Linked DNA regions of Schizosaccharomyces pombe. The gene in region 1 interacts genetically with each later gene. Each region holds a gene or a part of one and is shown in the gene's direction. Other genes may lie near its edges.

Evidence for each region.
Region 2: of rrp2 (region 1) and nup132, changing one suppresses a phenotype caused by changing the other (phenotypic suppression), as found in Schizosaccharomyces pombe (one study listed by BioGRID).
Region 3: of rrp2 (region 1) and uba2, changing one suppresses a phenotype caused by changing the other (phenotypic suppression), as found in Schizosaccharomyces pombe (one study listed by BioGRID).
Region 4: of rrp2 (region 1) and slx8, a mutation in one rescues a mutant of the other (synthetic rescue), as found in Schizosaccharomyces pombe (3 studies listed by BioGRID, with this or other methods).

Annotation. Positions count from the first base shown.
Region 1 is NC_003423.3:3,837,907-3,844,640, forward strand, and holds rrp2 (DNA translocase/ SUMO-targeted ubiquitin ligase E3), read left to right. Parts: upstream 1-1,662; 5' UTR 1,663-1,730; coding exon 1,731-4,853; 3' UTR 4,854-4,935; coding exon of another isoform or gene 4,936-5,654; 3' UTR 5,655-5,700; coding exon of another isoform or gene 5,701-5,842; 3' UTR 5,843-6,199; downstream 6,200-6,734. Other genes in the region: protein N-terminal amidase nta1, read right to left, coding at 4,936-5,654, 5,701-5,842; U3 snoRNP-associated protein Utp10, read right to left, coding at 6,541-6,734.
Region 2 is NC_003424.3:2,775,700-2,781,564, forward strand, and holds nup132 (nucleoporin, WD repeat Nup132), read left to right. Parts: upstream 1-1,588; 5' UTR 1,589-1,671; coding exon 1,672-1,855; exon of another isoform or gene 1,856-1,911; intron 1,912-1,919; coding exon 1,920-5,224; 3' UTR 5,225-5,354; downstream 5,355-5,865. Other genes in the region: tRNA 2'-O-methyltransferase Trm13, read right to left, coding at 1-384, 436-472, 552-877; serine/threonine protein kinase (CK1 family) Cki3, read left to right, coding at 5,717-5,851. UniProt on the Schizosaccharomyces pombe protein: Functions as a component of the nuclear pore complex (NPC).
Region 3 is NC_003423.3:2,293,089-2,297,760, forward strand, and holds uba2 (SUMO E1-like activator enzyme Uba2), read left to right. Parts: upstream 1-1,845; 5' UTR 1,846-1,942; coding exon 1,943-2,023; exon of another isoform or gene 2,024-2,064; coding exon 2,065-2,145; exon of another isoform or gene 2,146-2,235; coding exon 2,236-3,294; exon of another isoform or gene 3,295-3,335; coding exon 3,336-4,001; 3' UTR 4,002-4,153; downstream 4,154-4,672. Other genes in the region: cyclophilin family peptidyl-prolyl cis-trans isomerase Cyp7, read left to right, coding at 1-53; snd301 (pho88 family protein), read right to left, coding at 305-687, 789-951, 999-1,037; pfk1 (6-phosphofructokinase), read right to left, coding at 4,378-4,672.
Region 4 is NC_003423.3:1,287,648-1,292,173, reverse strand, and holds slx8 (SUMO-targeted ubiquitin-protein ligase E3 Slx8), read left to right. Parts: upstream 1-1,962; 5' UTR 1,963-2,213; coding exon 2,214-3,023; 3' UTR 3,024-3,159; coding exon of another isoform or gene 3,160-3,938; 3' UTR 3,939-3,975; downstream 3,976-4,526. Other genes in the region: U3 snoRNA associated protein Dip2, read right to left, coding at 1-1,610; AP-endonuclease Apn2, read right to left, coding at 3,160-3,938, 3,976-4,526. UniProt on the Schizosaccharomyces pombe protein: Mediates ubiquitination and subsequent desumoylation/degradation of sumoylated proteins and proteins containing SUMO-like domains. Acts as a critical suppressor of gross chromosomal rearrangements (GCRs) during normal cell cycle progression.

The DNA of each region.
Region 1 (6,734 bases):
AAAACGGAAGAGAAAGTTCAATTTAAACGGCAGAAGGAATAACAACGATACTTGGGTATCGCTGAACGCAGAAACGAAAAACGAATATAGCAATTAACGTAAACACGAGAGTCTACTGCAATCAAAATAACAGCAATTGCGCTTTAAACCTACGAGCAAAAAGAAAGAGAAGAAAATATTAAAATAAAAGACCTCAAAAAAAAAAAAAAGCGAAATGCTAACTTCAAAATCAAAATGCAATTTTTAACTCAAATTTGACGCAATTCCCTCGATATTACTTTCTATATGTAGCTCAATTAAAATATAAGAAAATGAGAAATAATATAAGCACAAGGACAAAGGAAACAAAGGAATTGTTCAAATACGGGGTTTCGATGTTGTAGCGTAGGTAAGTTGACTTATCTATCAGCACATTGTTAGGCAATCTATTTATGCAATTATAAATTATTGATTTTTTTAAGGTTTTTCATTTACATAAGTATTTTTTTGAATTTTATTTGTGCAACCATGTTATTAATTATGTCTTTTGAATTTCTTTTCTTATGCAGTTTTGGATTCCTGCGCAGGGTTCCATCGCTTCAGTCATAGTAGTAAAATGAGGTAAATGATTTACGTTGCTTGAAATGTGCAGATCCTACGGATGCGTCATATGGTGCTGGCAAAAGAAAAATGCGAATTTGTAGGTTTAGAGACAGCTTAAATTTTGCTTTCACCGTTTCCATTAATTCTATAAACTTTCATTTTTCATACAGTTGTTTGTCTTTGTATCCACCTGGCTAAATACATTAGAGGTTAAGCGCCAACACTCAGTCATATAAATATTGAATAGTAAGCCGCTAAAGAGAATTCAAGCGACACTACTTGATCAATTTTTAATGAAAGATACCATTATAAATTTAGAAATACAAATAATAATAGTTTTGAAATTTGGTTCTGCTATCAATACCTACGCATTGCACTTTAAAGACAAAGTAATTAGGAAAAAGGTAATGAATATTTTTAATTTAAAAAAAAAAAAAAAAAAAAAAAAAAGAAATTTAGGTATTAAGTAAAGCCATATAGCTTAAAATGCATGGGTATGTAACAGTATTCATATAGATTAGTTGAATTTAGGGGGAAACAACTTTAGAAGAAAGTAGAACATATAAAAACATTAATTAAAATATTTGTTTATTAAAACAATTTACAGCTGCTTTGATACTGCACGGACGATGCTTAAGCTATTTGAAACGTTTAATTAGAAAATTTGCAAAATGCTGCTTGGGAAACTAAGCAAGAAACATCAAAAATTTTTAAAATCGCTTTTAATACTACAATGACAAATTAGAACTGGGTTAAAAATGCTCTCAATTTATTTATTTATTCCGTCCATTTTCATCTCGCTACTAACATTTTTCAAGGATTTAAAAGTTTCACAGTTCTGTTTTTATAAAATATGTATACAGATGACTCTTCAATACCCCTTTGATTTCTTTCAGGTTTACTGATCAGCATTTTTATAAAACTCTCCCAAAACAGAAATTATTATAATAAGAATTTTTTATGATTTAAAAAATTTAATTTCTTTCCTTCCATTTCGAATGATCACAAATTCATGTACACATTTACCCTTGTTAACTTACATTTGGTACTTATTCTAAACTTTTGGGGCGACTGAGTATCACCACACCAGTTTGCCTACCTAAAATTACACACTACATTTTAAACACAAAGCATTTTTTTGCTAATTTATGAGAAATAATACAGCTTTTGAACAATTTACGTTAAATCCATGTGAACAAATACCTTTAGATGACAAACATAACATTGGGTTCAATAAAAATAATACCCCGGACTATTCTTCTTCTGCATCGTCTGACCAATTGTTAAAAAATGATATAAACAGACATGAAATGGAAAGGAGAATTGCTTTTCTTAATCGAAAACAGGCGCTATTCAATGCCTTTATGCATGATTCATCGTCCTCTTTAAATACGATGGAATCTAACATAGAAAAAGTGAATGGCCTTTTTCCTAATGACAATAGTGTGATTGCATTAAAGCCTAATGAAGAGAAGCTGAACAGTTCTCTTTCCGTTGAAAATAATGATTCTACTTACACGGATGCCACTTTAATTGCTCCTAAAATTGGGCTTGATCGTCCAAACATCAATGCAATTACTATTGATGTTGATGGCCACTCTTTGCAAAACGAAATTAGTTCTTCAACAGATAAGCTTAGTCCGAGTCAATCTGATGCACTTTTTGAACAAAAACAGGACTCTTTGTTTTGGAACGACAATGCTGTGATTGTCGTATCTGACTCTGAATCCGATGATAATAATGTTCGGACGAAATCTTCACTGAACGACCATGATAAAGTTAATATGAAGGAAAAAAGGAATTTAGAGCTTGCGTTTATGAATTCGAAAAGGAAAAAACTAGAGTTACCTTCGTTACCAGTTTTATCTACGGCTGGACCTTCTTATACCAATTCTTTAGCTCTTCCTCCTTTTCATCATCATAATAATTATAAGATGTTTAACACAACTCACACTTTAGAAGATGATAAGTTTCTTCAAGGAAAAGGAACTTCTAATAATCCGATCTCTTTATCAGACGAAGAAGATAACGAAATTAATTTTCAGAATAAGCGTTATGGCTCGGATTCAGTCATTCTTCCGGGTGGTTTGTTGCATGATTCCAAGCTACCCGAACCTGGTAAACACTTATTCCACCTTCAATGGTATCACGATAGATTTCACAATATTGAAGGATTCAATTTGTCAGACTCAAATAACCAGAAAGTTCAAGATGATCAGCAACAACAGTTGGAGGAGTTGTTCAAAGATCTTGATGAGCAGCTTGTCAACGATCCAACAATTCGCGAAGGTACACCTGCTGGACTAATACCTACATTAATGGAACACCAAAAGGAAGGACTAATGTGGTTAAAAAGATTAGAAGAAAGCTCTAAGAAAGGAGGGATTTTGGCAGATGATATGGGTCTAGGAAAAACTGTCCAGGCTCTTGCATTGCTAGTAACAAGGCCTCCAGAATCTAAATCAGTTAAAACAACTCTGATTATCACCCCTGTGTCGCTATTACAGCAATGGCATAATGAAATACTTACTAAAATTGCTCCCTCACATAGACCCACTGTTTATATTCATCACGGAAGTTCGAAAAAGCACAAAATTGCTGAACAATTGATGTCGTATGACATTGTTTTGACTACTTATAATGTCATCGCTTACGAGTTTAAAAACAAAATGGCTTATGACAAGAGTATCGAAGATAACGCTCCAATAAAAAAATTTGAACACCTTCCATTTTTTGAAGCAGAGTGGTATCGAGTTATATTGGATGAAGCTCAAACTATCAAAAACAGGAATACGTTAGCTGCTCGTGGATGCTGTCTATTAGAATCAACTTATCGTTGGTGTTTGAGTGGTACCCCTATGCAGAATGGGGTTGAGGAGTTCTACAGCTTGATAAAATTTCTGAGGATTAAACCTTATTCAGACTGGTCAAGTTTTTCAAAGGACTTTACCATTCCTTTAAGTAGCAATATAAACACGTCCGCTCCTATGAAGCGCTTTCGTGGCTTATTAAAAGCAGTGCTACTTCGTAGAACGAAAAATACAAAGATTGATGGCAAGCCAATATTGACACTTCCTCCAAAAACCGCCGTCAAATCTGAAACAGACCTCTCTTCTTCTGAGATGGAATTTTACAATACGCTTCAAAGCGGAGCACAAATTCAAATGCGTAAATATCTTCAAGAAGGGACTATAACTACGCATTACGGTAGTCTACTAGTATTACTTTTGAGACTTCGACAGGCTTGTTGTCATCCCTGGCTAATTGTTGCTCGAGAAGCAGCGGTTGATGATAACGATAGCTTTCAAGCTAAGAATCGTGCAATCTACAACCAAATATATCCCGAGGCTGTCAATCGCCTTAAGTTAATTGAAACGTTGCAATGCTCCTTATGTATGGATGTTGTTGCAGAACTTTTGATAATTGTGCCTTGCGGTCATTTTCTATGTAGAGAGTGCTTAACCCATGTTATTACATCCAGTGAGGATATGGCTAAGCAAACAAGCAACGAAAATATTTCTCCTAAGTGCTCAGTTTGCGAGGAGTACATCGATACTGAAAGGCTTTTGAGTTACGCATTATTTAGACGATATTCTGGAATGGCACCTATTGTCGATGCCGATAACAAATTAAGAACAGAAAACATTTCCGAATTGCTACCTAAACAGTATAGTAATATCTTAGAGAATAGACAAATGGGTATGAAGATCTTTACGGATCCTAAACATTGGACCACTTCTACAAAAATTGAAAAAGCATTAAATGCAGTTAAAGAAATCATCAAGAAACAGCCAACTGACAAAATTTTAATATTTTCACAGTTTGTTTCTTTTCTTGAGCTTTTTACGGTACCCTTTCGACAAGAGGGTATAAAATATCTTATGTATACTGGTGGTCTAAGCACAGCGGAAAGAAATCAAGCTCTTATTAATTTTGAAGTTGATCCGAACGTGAGAGTTTTACTGATCTCTTTAAAAGCAGGAAATGTCGGGTTAAACTTGACTTGTGCAAATCATGTCATCATACTCGATCCATTTTGGAATCCTTATATCGAAGAACAGGCTGTCGATCGAGCACATAGAATTGGACAAGATAAACCGGTAAATATTTTACGAATTGTTACTAATAACACGATTGAAGAGCGAGTTTTAGCCTTACAAGACAGAAAGAGAGAACTAATAGATAGCGCTTTAGGGGAAAAAGGGCTTAGAGAAATTTCACGTCTGAATACAAAGGAGTTGTCATTTTTATTTGGAATGTCATCACGATAATAGAAATTTAACAGGCTTATTAAAACCAATATGTATTATATAATATGTTTTCATGAATAGAAATAAAAAACGTCGCACATCTTTATTTTTCAAGTTCTCCAACTACAATTCCATTCTCAGCAGCTTTCAAGACACCATGTAAGATAGCTCTTCCTTGAGAAAGTTCCATAATACAAGAGGTACCGGAAAAATTTAAATCATTCTCCTTTCCCCACCGATTTGCTACAAGAACGATTGCATCCGTATTCGAATTTATTAACGGTGAAAGTCTAGTGGTCCAGTAATGTAAATTTTTGATGTCGGGCAGGGAAGCATCAATGACTTTATCATCTGACACAAGCCATGCCATACTTAAACAAATAATTGGTCGTGATACATTCGAAGAAACCATTTGTTGATGCTCTAGCTCACGCAAAATGAAGTTTGCATATTCAAACTTCTCAAAAGGAGCTTTAAAATCATACGGGTTAATGTCCATACAAATTGCCATTGAAATAGGGCCCAGTTCAGGAATACAGGGTTCAAAAGAGAAACCCTTGCCTTCAGTGGCCCATGATTTGTCTGTTTCAAAAAGAAAGTGCTTGTGGTAAACGTTCAACAACTCTTTTTTGGGAGAAATGAGAGCTGTACTATTGTAAAGAGTAGAAATGCCGTTTGAGTTTTGAAACTCAGGAAATCCAATGATGGTGTAGCACCGATATTGCTCAGAGACTTCTTGAGCAAATTGAATGCTTGGACAATGATTGCTAGTTACGTTTTCTAAAAAGGGTTGTATACTTTCTGAATTTTTAAAATTGTAGCCTACAGGAAAGTTAGCTAACTCTTCTTAATAATAAAGACCACCCACCAGTTAAGCACATTTCAGGGAAAACCAATAGCTTAACAGACTGTAATGCTTCAGAATGTTGATCCAAAAGCTGGCGAAGATGAACGATGTTTTCGTTCACCTTTCCCAACTTGGGAAAAAATTGTACACATCCAAACTTCATTAGTACTGTCGTTGCTGTTTAAAAGGATGCACTAGTAGTACAAACAAATTTTAAATTGAGAAGTGTTGACCGTTTTTATGACATCGAAGTGGCAAACTCTTAAACAAGTCCTTAGCGAGGCTTTTTTTTACCAATTCGATAGATAAATGGAATTAGAATTTTATCTCTTGTATATAAAAGACCGACAAGAAACTGGCCAAATCACCATTTCCTAGACAAAAACTGACTTAAGCAAATTTAAAGACGTATGCCGTTCCACTAGATTACTGCTATGTAGGATGATTGCACTTTACGAAGTCGCTCAGATATACAATATTTCGATACTTCAATGAAATTTACTGGGTTTTAATACACTGGTTTAAACTTCAAAATTATTTTGCTGCTGTCAAACATTTGTAAACTGCAAAAATTTCTCTCTTAATTTATAGTATTATGAAACCGAAACCAACCAAACTATTTATAATCCCAAGATAATTGAGAATTGATGAATACAACCCTAAAGGTCATTGATGAGAAGACCCATTATGGATTGCAATCAACATGATCGTCTTTTCCTTTTTTTTTGGCAGGGATTAGACGAAAGCGTATATATTCATAACGAATCAATAATTATTTTTTTTAGAATGAAAAATTTAGAAAACGAAAGATTCCGTTTAAAACTCAGCCTGTGAAAAACGGACCCACAACCTCTACAATCCTTATGTAAGGTAATCTTGGAGGGATTCATTCTCACCGAGACGGTCATCTATTATCCGCACGAGCTCAGCCGTAGCAGTTTCAACCTGATCATCATCATCTTCCATTAGTTCAGCAATAAATGGTACTGATTGAGGCAATGTAGAAATCCAATTCTCACCAAGGCGCCCGTAAAGCTGTGTCTGTATTTGGATAG
Region 2 (5,865 bases), on another chromosome or scaffold:
TACAAGAGCATTAGGAGGGGAGGACTTTAAGCAATTCAAGGTAAGGTCTGTGGCAGCACCACATAAATGCTTAGAATATGCAAATACAGGTTTACCACTATTCCGAAATTCACTAGCAAAAAAATCGAGTTTCAAATCCTTAATATCAATTTTACACCTTATAATTTTTGGCTCAGGCCAGTTATTTTTGATGCTATCTTTTAATATCCTGCTATCATGCTTCGTTCGATTTGAATCACGATCAATAAGTATATATACGTTTTCTTGTTGGGAGCAGTGCTGAACATATCTTGATAACTCGGCTCTTCCAGCACCGAATTCGTAATATATAGATCCTTGGTTGTCAAAATAATGTAGTTTTTCCATATGTCCTAACAATGATGCCTAAAATGGTTAATGCTTTTGACTGCCGTTAAGAAATCATGTCGAACATACCTGCTGAATTGCATGCTTTTTTTTTGTACCCTCTTCACTGTTAAAAATGAAGTTAGTTTCTACTTTTGCAACCATCTTCTTAATAAAAAGCTAATGAGAAAGCACTTCGTACATACAGTCTTGCATTCATTGCCGGGTGAAACAACACCTTTTTTTGAGGAGTCGGTAAAGAATCACTAATTCTGTTGAACAAACAAATCCATTTTGACAACTCTTCCTTGCTTAAATCGACGATTTCAAAGGAGGAAGATTCTGAAGCATCTGTTGAAGTAGAGATATTTATGTCCTTCTTGTAATATGGATCGGTCCTTTCAACAGGACGCGCGTTACAACGCTTCAAATGATATTCTAAACGATGTCGCACAATTGTATGCTTGTGATCATATGGACAGGGGATTTGTTTTAATTCTTCCTGAGTAAAAATTTTTTTTATTCGTGCCATCAAGTTAGATAACTTTTTAACTCTTAAGTGATATTAGCCTGAATATTGATCACAAAAGTAAATCTTAAAATACAATAATTTTATTTTTCTTGTAAAATTTGGTCTTTTTCAGTCCTTCGGATAATTTACAACACTAATGAAAAATAGCTTTCCGATTCGGCAGTTCAGACACTTCAAAATAAAGTATTTTCGCGTTTTTCTCTTTATTACAGTTGTTTCCAACCCAGTCCCAAACTTTCTACTACTTTTATAGTTTTCTGTACCAGATGTGCGATTTTACGAAGAAATCTGATGTTTCCAACCATTGGCGTGCTCATAAAAAAAATTCAAATACGGAATCATGAAACATTTATATAAATTGATCATGCGTTCTAAAAAAGTAGTTTAAGCTTGACCTTGAAGAACGCAACTACTTTTTAAAAACCTCTGTTTTATACAACATTCCGGGAAAAGACAATATCCTAAGTATCACTTCCTTAAATATACCAAAGCAAAGAAATAATTAATTACAAAAGAGCAAACTGTGTTGACATTTGTGAAAAAAGTGTATATGACATATACACCGATTTTGAAATATTGATATATTGATTTTACTCTGAATTTCTTATCAGTAGCTTAACTATTTAATTCTGAGTAAAAAATAGGAGTCTAAGTAAAGTTCTTTTGATTTCAAACCCTTCTTTGTAGGAATCGTCGACATTCGTCCTTCTCAGAGCCATATTCTATCCCTAAGGGTATTAAGGAGTCAAATAGACGATAACCGCCAGTATCAGTACTGATATCGTCAAATAGTCATGAGTTCTATCCTTGGTAAAAGGAAAAATGAAGAAGTCGTATCTTTTAGCCCTTTGAAACGAATTTCTGTTGAGAAATCGCTTTTGGATAGCACTGCCTATAATAATTCATTGGATTGGCTCAGATCTAAAAATTTCAAGGTCTCGTGTCTACTTAAACATTTTAATTCTAAAATTATCAACGGTACGAAGCTTTTATTTCTTCACTGTGCGCATTACTAGGTAACTAACATCTCTATTCAATTTAGACCATCCTTTAAGTGGATCATGCTACACAGACATCGGTTATGCATTAATTAATTCCCGAAAAGCTTGCTTTATTTTGTCGTATCGTCAAAGCTTGGGAACAGCAGAACCTCCAACTATAACATTTCCGCTACCTGAAGAGGACTCAAATGGCTTTTCCGGGCAAAATGCCTTGACAGCCTTCGTCCCTTCTGATGCTTCTGACAAAGAACCTGGATTGCTGATTGTAATGCCTATCTCTGGTCGTATAGCATATTGGACTTCAATTGGGAATGCTCTCGCTCAATCTTATATATGTCCCCAGGGAATGGAAAGTTTGATAAAGTTACTCCCCAAAGAAAAATGTGAGCATTTATGTTGCTCAAACCCCATGAAGTTCATCATATCTACCAATTTTGGTCGTCTTTTTTCTGTTCAACTGCGCGATCCTGCAGGTCAACCTGACGTTTCTGTACAATTATTTGCTTCCGATATTAGTACTTTTTCTACTATTCTTCAGAAAATGAAGATTTTTAACTACCCTAGCATTCATATCATTGCTTTAAAATCCCCACCACTGTTCTCTCCATACCAACATCTTTTGTATGTCGCTGAGGCATCTGGTTTACTAGAGATATATGATTTGAAGTTGGAAAATAAGCTTGTTTCTGGTATGAATCTGTCTCCTATTTTTAAGCAGGTTTTGAGAGAAGGATGCCCCGATGCAAGCGGACTTGAGGTGTTAGACCTTACTATATGCCCCACAAACGGAAATCTAGTGAGTTTTTTAGTATGTTGGAAAAATTCTATTAATTACCGTTACATGATTATTTCTCTTGATTTTTCTGACATTTCCTCACCCTCGGTAATGAATATTCATCCATTGTATTCATTTTCTTCTAAATCTCTTGAGTCTTCAAAGCTACATTATTCATCATCAGGGAATTCTTTATTTGTGGTTTTAACAGACGCTGTTATTATAGTGCACGTCCAAGAGGATGATAAAGATATTGTATCGAGAACATCATGGGAAGAGGTTATTCGTATGAATACTAATGTCTCTGGCGGCATATTTATGTCTACTTGCTACAAATACGTTTTAGGAAAATACTCTATTCCTACGGAATCATGTTTTATAGCAACCCCTTATTCTGGTATCGCTGAAATAGAAGTTCATAGTTTGGAGCATCCTGCAAATAACGAATCTCTCGTAAAAAGCAAGTTGGAAGAAGCTGTTTTTTACTCCTTCCTTCCTGGTAATCCGATCGATTTTTCCTGCAATTACCTTCGCTCCATCAAAAAGCCTGAACTCGAAAGGATTATTGTCGATCTTGGAATGGACATCTTGAATTCAAGGTCTACTCATTTACCCCCATTATTTGCTTCTTTAATGCAGCATCTGTCCTGTAGGTTAAATTCTTTGAATAATCTTGTCCGGTATATTAGGTCTATGTCACTGGATGTTGATCGTCAAGTACTATACAAGTTGAGAGTAATGGGCGAAAAATGCAATTCTGTTAGATATTTATGGAATACTATCGATACTGAATTTAGTACTGTTAGTCATTCCCTAATTTTTCAACGCATAATTTATAGACTCACTCAAAGTGCTTCGTCGGATAACGCTTTGAGAGAGTGGTTTTTGCATAATATTGAAAGCATTGATCAACTGATAGCGCAAGCACATGAATTTTGCATAGATTCAGGTTCTCGAGTTCAAGAACTTCCATTGGAAGTTCTTGATGTAATTATGGAAGCTAATGAAGTAATTCTGGCAATTCAATCTTCGGCTTTGGCTTATCGCCGTGAGTCCCAGAAGATTTATAAGCTAAGTATTGATACCTTTGGAGAAGAGGTTCCTTGGACGTCAACGCCAGAAACTTTAGTTTTGCTGTGTCGACAGTTTGAACTTACTCGGTCAGCGCTTGTCCAGTCACATCAAGGAACCTCGGATGTGGAGAATACTTTTAAAATAAAGGATAAAGGGGTGCTAAGAAATGTCGTTTCAAATTTAGAAGTACAATTAGTGGCCTTGACAGAGGTTTGCTTTGACGCGTACTCAGAAAGGATTAGATGGATAGAACAACGTTGTGGTAAGGATGCTAGTGAAATTCAAGATGTCAAGGAAGCTTTTGCAGTTAATCGCAGATTTTGGGTTCAAACTTTATCAGATATAGGTAAAGGCAGCAGTGCCATTCGAATCGCTGAAAAATACTCAGACTATCGTTCTTTAGTAGAATTGTGCTATCAACTTTATGAGGACAATGAGCTCACGGATGCACTAAACAATTACCTTGATCTTTTTGGTATAAAATTCGCATTTATATTATATGACTATTTTGTTGAAAATGGCATGGCATTAGAGTTGCTTAATAGCGACAGGTTCAACAAATCTTATTTGAAACAATTTTTTAAATCTCGAGATTACAACCAGATTTCATGGATGCATGATATGAGGTTAGGAGACTACGATGCTGCGTCGCATAGATTGCTACAGTTGGCTACTAAACAAGAAAAGCTGGTTGATAAAAAGGAATCTGAGCTTTCATTAAGTAAATTATTTCTTTATGCAGTTCCATCCAACTCTGGAAATATCAGAGATTTGGTTTTAGTGGAACAAAAGCTTGAGCAACTACATATTCAAAAAATGGTTTCCAAAAGTGTTATGCCAGTCGTTGAACGGCTTCGTTCTCAGGGGAAAAAATACCAGCTTGTAGAAGCTGTTGTGGATGATTTGATTGGTGCCAAGGTAGCGCCTGTTATCGCTCGTCAGGTTATGCAGCGCGTAGTCAAAAAGTTCATTGCCGGACAGGTGGTTGAAGCAACTGAACTGTTGGAGTACCTCAGCTTTTCTTTATACCGTCGAGAGGACCTTGTAGAAGGTGAAGTTACCGACTATTATCTTGCTTTGCGTCTTCTTTTAACCACCAGATTAACGGACGATGCCAAGAGATTTTATGAAAATACCATTTGGAGACGAGCTGTTTTACATGACAACTGGATCCAAGTTTTGGATACCCAGGGTAAAAACGATGCAATTATAGAAACCCAATTCCGAATGTCAGCACTATATCGGACTCTAGAGGCTGTGACCATAAACGGACTTTTTCATGAAGGACTTATCCGACCTGGTTCGCTTTCTTCTTGTAAGTTTGAAGGATATGATCCTCAAAATCTCATTTCTATTTACCCACCCGCTCGCTTTGGAGATGTGACTGAAGTTACCAAAGTACTTAATCGTGAAAGCGTAAAGTTGGATCATTATCTTACAAAAACTAATTTAAATACTTGCTATATTAGTATGTGTTTAAGTTGCGATACGATTTAACCTTTATCTTAATCATACAAACCCATTAGATAATAAAAGAATTTTGGTTAGATAGGTTTCATCCGAGTCCCTTGATCATTGTCAATTTTGTTAGCTAATGAATCTAAAATAAAATTTTGTTTACCACTAACTCAAACTAGAAAGTATACCATTATATCTATTTTCAGCTTTCCAACCTTATACTACGCTAGCTTGGTATATCGGTGGAAAACCCAGTACTGCTTACTTGTCCACTACCAAGTACAGTGTTGGCTGCCTCGGATTCCTCTGAGGTTGTCAACTGTAAACGAAATAATTGAACTGTCACTTTCTTTGTGTTTTTCATGGAATCTTTGTGGATTTTAGCGGCATCTACTTCATTTTTCTACCCGTAACCATCTTTAACTTTCGAGTGCGAAAGACATCAACATTTAACAAACCGGAACGCTCTTTTAATCAAAAACATTTTAAAGAAAACTGCATTTAACATAGTGGAATATTTAAAAGACCATCATGTCAACTACTTCGTCTCACTCCAACGTCGTTGGTGTTCATTACCGCGTTGGTAAAAAGATTGGAGAAGGATCTTTTGGCATGTTATTTCAAGGTGTAAATTTAATCAATAATCAGCCAATTGCCCTAAAATTTGTATGTAATTATTT
Region 3 (4,672 bases), 1.5 Mb from region 1:
ATGTTCCAAGTGCTAGGCCTAAGAAGCTTTTAATGAAACGCGATATAATTTAATGTTTTACAAAGAAAAAAAAACCTATGCTTCTTTTAAGTATAAATTAATATTTCACATATTTCGTTTGTAAATTCTAATAATAATTACATTTTAAGCAAAGTATGGGAATGGTCAATTAGTGACTTGCAAAGTAAACAATTGTATTTATCACAACGAAAAAAAACTCGTATCACTATAATTTTTAAACACGAGGTGTGTTGTGGAAGAAGAGAAATTATTAAAAATTCCTGACAACTTAACAACACATTTTTTAAGTGGGCTTGAGTTTGGTTAATTCAGCTTCATCCACACTTTTTTTATCAGTCAAAACTTGACCAAAACTACCAAGAAGGCCACCAGATGATTTGAAAGGACGTCTCAACTCATCAATAGCAGGCTTATTTTGAACGTGAATCTGCACTTCACTGTTATCAAACAGACCTCTAGCAGCAGATACAGACTGTAAGAGAAGAGGAGGAGCGTAGCCCATATATAAATGCATGAACAAAGTGGTAGCAATTGTCACGAGCATTTGTTTAAAAGATGTCAAGAGTTTGCTCAAATCGTAATCACGCACGGTGGTAGCGACAAATTTTGAATGTTCACGTCCAGACATGGGAGTAGCGGGTTCAACATATTTTAAAACAGTTAAATCTAGAATTGTTAGAGAATAGATGAACCATGGTAGATTGAATTCGTTTATCTACCCATTTTATTAAGAAAGACGAAACAACCAATCTTCCAAACCAACGTACCGTTTTTCTTTTCGATAATAATCTTCGTGTAGAGGAAAATTCCTATTTGAACTATATTCACTGTAGCGTATAGAATCCTCAAAGGCCAAAGTAATGAGGGTCTTGAGAAATCAATTACCCTGGTGATCATCATCAAGAAGATAGAGATACCGATTGATTTAGTCTATCATGTTAACACCTGCCCAGCCAAATGTTTTTTCAAAATCTTACTTGAGGATTATTCTTCAATTTCTCCCATCTTGAAACCATTTTGTACGAAGTGTAGACGTTGAACTCAGACTACCTCTCATACATTTGGTGTTGATAATACACTACTGAAAGGTAACATGTTACCATACATTTCTGCCTAGCTATATTCTGTTACTATACTTTTAAGAGCCAGGATTTGGAGTTTTTTTGCAATAGAATTGAGTAAGAAAAGACGTAGAATTATTTTTTTTCTTGAAAGTGCCTTCTATCTGATCCAACTTGGCAAGCGACGCATCTCTGGTGAACGAATGTTGGAAAATTAGAGTTGTTTAAACATGAATGCCTTGCGCTAATAAGGGATTTCCTGCAGTAACAAATCGTAGTGCTATTGCATGAGAATGCCTAAGACTCTTAATTTGCAGAACGAAAAAAATGTTTCTGCATTCACTAATATGATAAGTTGTGGTTCACTTACATAGAAATACAACCCAGTTTCAGTTTTATTTATTTTGCTTACAATTTAAAATTTAGCCCTGAAGCTTTTGTAAGTTGTTTATCACTCGCATGTTTGTGGTTAAAATACATTTTTACCACGATTTTGAAGAAATAGTACATTAGCAAAATGTGAAATCAATTGTTAAAAAAAAGTTTATCGTTTTTTTGACAGGCATTAGTAACTACGAATATGTTGTCCAACAAGCCCAAAGTGAAAGAATACTCAATTTTATATTTTGTAGTATGCACTTCTCTATTCTTTATTTATTTTATTGTGAGTTCTAATGAAAGTAATTTTTTGTAGGATAGAAAAATTAAATAAGGTAACTTAGTGTAATAAATTAATGCTCTAGTTTTATCGCGCAGGGACTTCAAAATTAATAATAGCTGGCGAACTTGCTATTTATTCTATTTGTATGGGATTGTTTTTCTCGCTTCTTTTAAGCCCATAATTAGAATCGATTGCTAACATGCCAACCCTAATGCAACTCAGCAACGATATGAAACCATTGACATTTGTGGAGGCCTTACGAAATTTCAAGTCTGCCAAGGTATGTAATAGAAAAACTGGTGGGTTTTAACAATTGGTCAGGTCCTTTTAGTTGGAGCGGGTGGAATTGGGTGTGAATTGTTAAAGAACCTTCTTATGTCAGGAGTTAAAGAAGTTCATATAGTAAGTGAGTTGTATATTTAAATTTTTTAAACCTTAAGAAACGTTTCGTCTACATGTTTTTATCGCGATTTATTAACTCTTATACTGTAGATCGATCTTGATACTATTGATTTGTCTAATCTTAACAGACAATTTCTTTTTCGTAAAAAGCATGTCAAACAACCTAAGGCAATCGTTGCTGCAAAAACCGCAAGCTCATTTAACCCAAATGTAAAGCTTGAAGCTTATCATGCAAATATAAAAGAAGACCGATTTAATGTTGCTTGGTTTCGTCAATTTGATCTTGTTTTTAACGCACTAGATAACTTGGATGCTCGTAGACATGTGAATAAACAATGCTTACTTGCTTCTGTACCTTTGATTGAAAGTGGAACAACCGGATTTCTTGGCCAGGTACAGGTTATCATTCATGGCAAAACTGAATGTTACGACTGTAATCCCAAAGAGCCTCCTAAAACTTATCCGGTTTGTACCATTCGAAGCACACCAAGTCAACCGATTCATTGTGTAGTTTGGGCAAAAAGTTATTTCTTCCCCCAACTTTTTAGTAATGATCAAGAAAGTGATGGAATCATTGACAATGTTTCTGCAAACGAAATGGAGAGACGTGAAATCGCAGAACTAGCTAGAGAAACAACTGAGCTAAACGAGCTTAGGTCGTCAATTGGTCAAAGTGACAATGGTTTTGAAAAAATATTTACGAAAATGTTTACTAAAGACATAGTTCGACTCCGCGAAGTCCCTGACGCATGGACATATCGTTCTCCTCCAAAAGAACTTTCATACTCGGAACTTTTAGAGAATGCCGAAAAAGCCACTTCACCTTGGCTTAATGAACAAAATGTTTGGAATGTTGCTGAAAGTTTTGCAGTTCTCAGAGATAGCATTAGACGCCTTGCTTTAAGGTCTAAATCCTCAAAAGACGATCTTTCTTTTGACAAGGATGATAAGGATACATTGGATTTTGTAGCAGCGGCAGCTAATTTGCGTGCCCATGTATTTGGAATTCAACAACTCTCTGAATTTGACATTAAACAAATGGCTGGCAATATTATTCCTGCTATCGCAACCACAAATGCAGTCATAGCTGGACTATGTATCACGCAAGCTATCAAGGTTCTTCAAGGAGATCTCAATGATCTAAAAAATGTAAGTTATTAGGTTTCAGCTGTATTTGCTAACAATTTAAGATATACTTGGCTAAAAGGCCTACCAGAGTACTCCATTGCGAGAAAACTTGTAAACCTAACCCTTACTGTCCTACTTGTTCTTTTGTACTTTTACAGCTTGGAGTAAATGACAAAAATATGACTCTAAGAGTTCTTGTTGATGATATTTTGAAAAGTCGTTTGCATTACTCAGAAGAGGTTAGCGTTTTAAACGATAAGCTGATATATGATCCTGACTTTGATGATAACTTGGATAAAACTTTTGATGATTTGGGTATAAATCCTGCCAAAAATACTATTCTCACAGTTCTTGGTGATTCTGCTGTCGAAAAGGATGATGATGGCGAGGAAGCTACTAGGGTTCCCTTGTTAATTGAAGTTACATTCATTGATTCTAATTCCACCGAAGGATTACCTTACCAAATACTTTCAAATGCTACCAGCATTCCTCTTAAACAGCAACCTCCTTCAAATTCGCCAGAAGATTCACAAGTTTTAACCGACGAGATTAATGAAGTTAATGACTTCTCTTCGTCGGAAAGAATCGTTATTAATCTTGATGAATATGACATTATTGTCGATTCTAAAACTAGCAGTCATAACAAACAACTCAAACGTCGACCATCTAACGATACACTTACTCAAGAAGCAAAATCGAAAAAGCAAGCGAAAATACACACTATGTAAATAAACCATTTGGATATTTACTGCACTCAATACTAGATATCTTACTAAAATCTTACATGTCAACGCTAGCTTTTCATGTCGGTCAAAATCAAATATTAAAAACCTATTATCGTTATAGAAAAATAATAATCAGTCTATAATAATCTCTGTCGAAAATAGTTATTTCACTCAAGTAAACATATATAACTCAAAAAAAAGACCTAGCGAAATCGATTCTCAAGTGACCAAATAATTAAAAAGTCGTAGGATAAAAACTTACATCTCTAACTCTAAAGTAACTGTTAGGACCAATTTCATACGAACGTTGAGAAAAGAGTTCCAGGATCAAAACAGAAACCACCACAAGGATAACCCAAACCGTAATCTAGCCATTTATTTAATCAGCAAAGGTCTTGCCGGCCAAGATGTTAACCAAGTTGTGCATATCACGCCACCAAGCGTTCTTAGGACGACGCATCTCAATTTCGGTTTCGTTGTTCTCAACATCAGCAACAGAGCTGAAAGAGACACCAGTACCACGGATACCGATGACAACGGCAGAGCTGGGGTCATTACCCAAGTCGTTGGCACGGCAAGTTTCGAAGAAACGAATGGCACGCATAGCCAGACGAGCAGCACGAGCACGGTCCATAGGAGTGGGGTTACCACCTTGTTGAACGTGACCGGGAACA
Region 4 (4,526 bases), 2.6 Mb from region 1:
ACATCGTCTGTGAAATCTATTTGTCGTGTTTGCTCTAATTTCAACGTGGTGACTTTTCTAGTGGTACCTGGTACGAAATCAAAAGACGATTTTAGAGACCAGAGTTTGACTGTGTGATCGGCAGAGGCAGTCGCGAAGTAAGTGCCATCGTGACCAACCGCTAAATCCCAAATCGCGCCATCGTGAGCTTGGATACGTTCGATAAGAGAAGAGCTAGCAATGTCATAGACTTCAAGTTCTCCTGATTTGTAAGCGGATACGATACACTTGTCGTTATTTATAAAGCTAGCAGCAAGTACATAACCACATTCGATTGTACGGATACAAGATGTGGTTTTCTTGTTCCAAAGCTTCAAAGAGCCGTTAGCACCGCTTAAAATCACATCGTGATTAGCGGACAAAGCCAAGGTACGAACGTCAGCACGATGACCAGGAATTTCAATGGCACTTATACGCGAAGCCCGTTCAGTTAATGGTGCAGCAGAACCTTCAGATTTGACATCCAAAGCGTAAACTTCAATTGAGTTATTTTGAAGAGATGTTACCAACGTAGGTGTACGATTTCCTGGTATCCAAGCTACAGACGAAGCACGAGCAGTGGTTCGAATTAGAGCAAAAGGTTCATATTCGTCTTTTAACGTGATCGAAACGTCCTCAGACTTTTTACGACGGCGTCGTCGATTCAGAATCTTTTCGAGCTCCGCACTTGATCGAAGGCGAAAAACCTCCAGAAGACGGTCATGAGCTTGGAATACAACATAACGGTTTGAAACGTCGTAAGCCAAGGTGATGGGACGGTCACGGCTTTGACGGGTAAAGGTACCTAATTGCTGAAATGCTTTAGTAGTTGGAGTGAAATTATTGTCATCTGGAAAACTGATTTCCCAAACTTTAACATCAGAACCGGTACCAGCAGTGAGGCACCGTTTGGCGTCTGGTGAAACACACATAGCCCAAATTTCGCCTTGGTGGTCGACATGAGTCTCAACGCAATGCTGAATAGACAAATCCCAAAGCTTCATAAAAGAATCTTTGCCAACAGACAAAAGAAACGAATCAGACGATTTACTGTCAACGTCCATGTCGCCGGAATCAATATCTGTGTCCACCACTGTTTCTTCAGCTGTATTCTTCGAAGGAGGTGTAATGAACAAAAGCTTGGTAATTTGGTCCTTGTGTCCACGTAGTCTAAACAAGCCGGTTTCAGCTACAATATCCCATACAATAATGTCGGTATCCATGCTTCCACTGGCCAATCTTGTGCCCATTTTATCAAAATCCATGGTAGTAACAGCACTTTTATGACCATTAAGAGTTATTAAGAGCTCTCCATCTTTCCAAAGACGTATAGAACCATCTGCATAGCCCACAGCGTACATTTCATCAAAGTTTGCAATACAAGTAACTTTTGCCGAACAATCAGAATCCTTCCATTTTGATAGTAATTGCCCAGTCTTTAAATCCCATTCCAAAACAGACTCAAGACCGCCAACAATGGCTCTGCCTACAGATTTAGCAGACGAAGAGGGTTGACCGAGAATATTACATCCCGAAGACGCAATGACACCAAAAAATTCGGTTGGTTCGTACCGCGTATAGCTTTTGACCATTGCGTCTACCCAGACCTAGATTAAAAAAAAGGCGTTGGTTGATGCTAAGTATATACACTCCTCTAATATTCAACAATTTGGAAAAGAAATAGCGATATACATTGTTATCGTTTTTTTATTTTAGCATTCCTTAATGCACTCCATAATACATTTTTGCATAGTTTATGGAATACTCATAATAATGTCGGTTGCGCAGTTTAATGAACTGCATTGAAAAGATTATTGATACACAATTAAGTTTTACCAGCTTTTCTGTTCTCTTTTCTTATTTGAAATACCGCTTGCGCTATTGAATGTGCTCATGAAAAAGGTCATAAATATTAATTAGACTAGCATCTTACAACATTGTGGTAGTGAGCCAATTTTTCCATGTAGACTTCAAAAATCATAGGTCTACTAAATTTAATTTTAAACTTGTTGGCAAGTTGCCAAAATAATTGCTGTTTGCGTATATTGACGTTAACACAATTCTCTTTTATTATTCTAGCAAGCCTGAAAAGCATTTGACAATCGATTAGGATACGATCAAAATTATCCTAATATTAGCCCATTAATCAATAATCTATAAACTATTTTCGAATTTCAGGACCAATTGGCAAAAAAATGCCACCCGCACATAAGAGAGATACCAACGTTAGAAACTTATCTGCACCATACAATATCCCATCTCAATCCGCTAGAGTCGCAGCTGGAAATGCAGCAATAAATAGGAGACGTTCTTCTCCAGTAGAGAATTCGCCAGGAAACGGATTTCCGGTTTCAGAAGATGCAACAGACTATCCTTCAGGCACTACCTCTGAGAATGAGTCTTTACCACTGAATCGTGCACCAAGGTCGCTAAGAGAGGTTGCTTCGGAGCTAGCACAAGAAGAAACACTACCTGTTGAAACCTCTGATTTAAACATAGATGTGGAAAGTGAAGTATTCGACTTGGAAGACATTAATTTTCAGAATGATGCTGATGACATAAATCAAAGATTCACCTACAACAATCATCCAGCTTCCGTTGAAAACAGTTTAACAAATGTTAATAGTATTCACGCGCAACCTACTACTATAAGCGATATGATTGATTTAACTGATGAGACTTCCTATGATCCAAGAAAACAAAAATTTGAACAGGGAAAGAACCCATCGACCACCAACGCCGAAATTGAAAAAGAAGAACCTAGCAAAAAACAGGTTGTTCCATCTTCACAACGACTAGCTGATTATAAGTGTGTAATTTGTCTGGATAGTCCGGAAAACCTATCTTGTACTCCCTGTGGGCATATATTTTGCAATTTTTGTATACTAAGTGCTTTAGGTACAACGGCTGCCACACAAAAATGTCCGGTGTGCAGAAGAAAAGTACATCCAAACAAAGTTATATGTTTGGAAATGATGCTCGGATCTCAAAAAAAGAAATCTTAACCGTACAAAATTCCGTATATACATATTAAGAATGTTAATGAAAGATGTGTGATGCACTGCTCAATGCTTTTTGCGGTTTATACACATCAAAATTGAGAATTGATTAAGAGCAAGTTATGCTAGTCATTACAAATTTTCAGTCCTTTGAATTTGCTCTCCAATCTGAGTCCCAGATAAAGAACCTGCATTGGAACGGTTGAGTATCTTCCTCAGAAACTGCATTTGAGTTTTTAATCAGTTCACCAACCGGTCTGGCACAAATCCAAAACTTCCGCCCGTAATTGATTCCCGGCTTCCTCACTGTCAAATACTTGCAAGGTTCCTTGTGACCCTCACAAAGTGGAGGAGCTCGTTCACTGAATATTTGCTTCCAGGCGTTCCCGTTTTCTACTTTTTTTTTTACTGTCAACCCTATGTCAGATTCATTATTGTTATCAAGGACCTCAATCGAAACGTCTTCTGTTTTATTGGTTTCTTCTTTCTCTTCCTTTTGCTTCGCAAAAAATGAAAGAAGCTTCGATTGTTCTTTTCGTCTTCTCTTTTCCGGTGGGTAGGCATCGACGTCTATGACAGAGTTTGCACGAGAAACAGTTGGTGAGGAGCCGCTGGACGCAGAAGCAGATACGTTTTCGCTCTGAGTGGGTGAGTTGTTTTTATTCTTTTTCATCGAATTGAAATGTTGGAACATTGAATGAATATTTTTTGATGGCCGATAGGCTGAATGATGCGCCGTTGATAGTAAAGGTGGTTCTTTTGAGTGACTTAGAAAGTTGGACAACTTTTTTCCTTCATATTCTTCTTTTAAATCTAAATATACGGGGCAATGATCTGAACCCATGACCTCAGCCATAATATCTGCATCTTGAACCCAAGGTAATAAATCGGGTGTTGCCAAAGTGTAATCAATTCTCGTACCTATCCATTGTAAAAAAAATAACAATTCAGAACTTACCATAATTTGTGGGCCTTGTATTAAGTCTTGTATTCCAACATGTAAACATTCCTTTCCGAGTAGGATGTTGAATACGGCCAATGTCCAACAGTAGTCCCAACCTGCTTGGTAGTAATAAATCACGTATCCATTGTCTTGATTCCATGATGCTTGGAATAAGACTCTCTCGAATAATGTCTTTTTGATCAGCAGTGTCAATAGGATTACACAAAATATTCACATCCCCAACGAGAATGATTTTTCGATTTCCTTCCTTTATCAATCTTTCAATTCTTTCTCGTAAGGCTTTATAAAAGGCCCGTCGATATTCTAGTCTATTTTCTCCAGAGTTTACTGGACAGTAAACACCGATTAGGATGAACATCTGAAAATCTAATAATATACACCTTCCTTCACTATCAATCCAATTAGCAGTTTTTCTGTCAATGTCTTTTGGGAAAAATCCTATCTTTTCATGCTCCGGTGCTTCTGAATATGAATATTTTTGTCCTCGTACTGGCAGGATGCCAGTAATTCCCTCTTCTGCTTTCACTGGAATAGCAACATCTTTT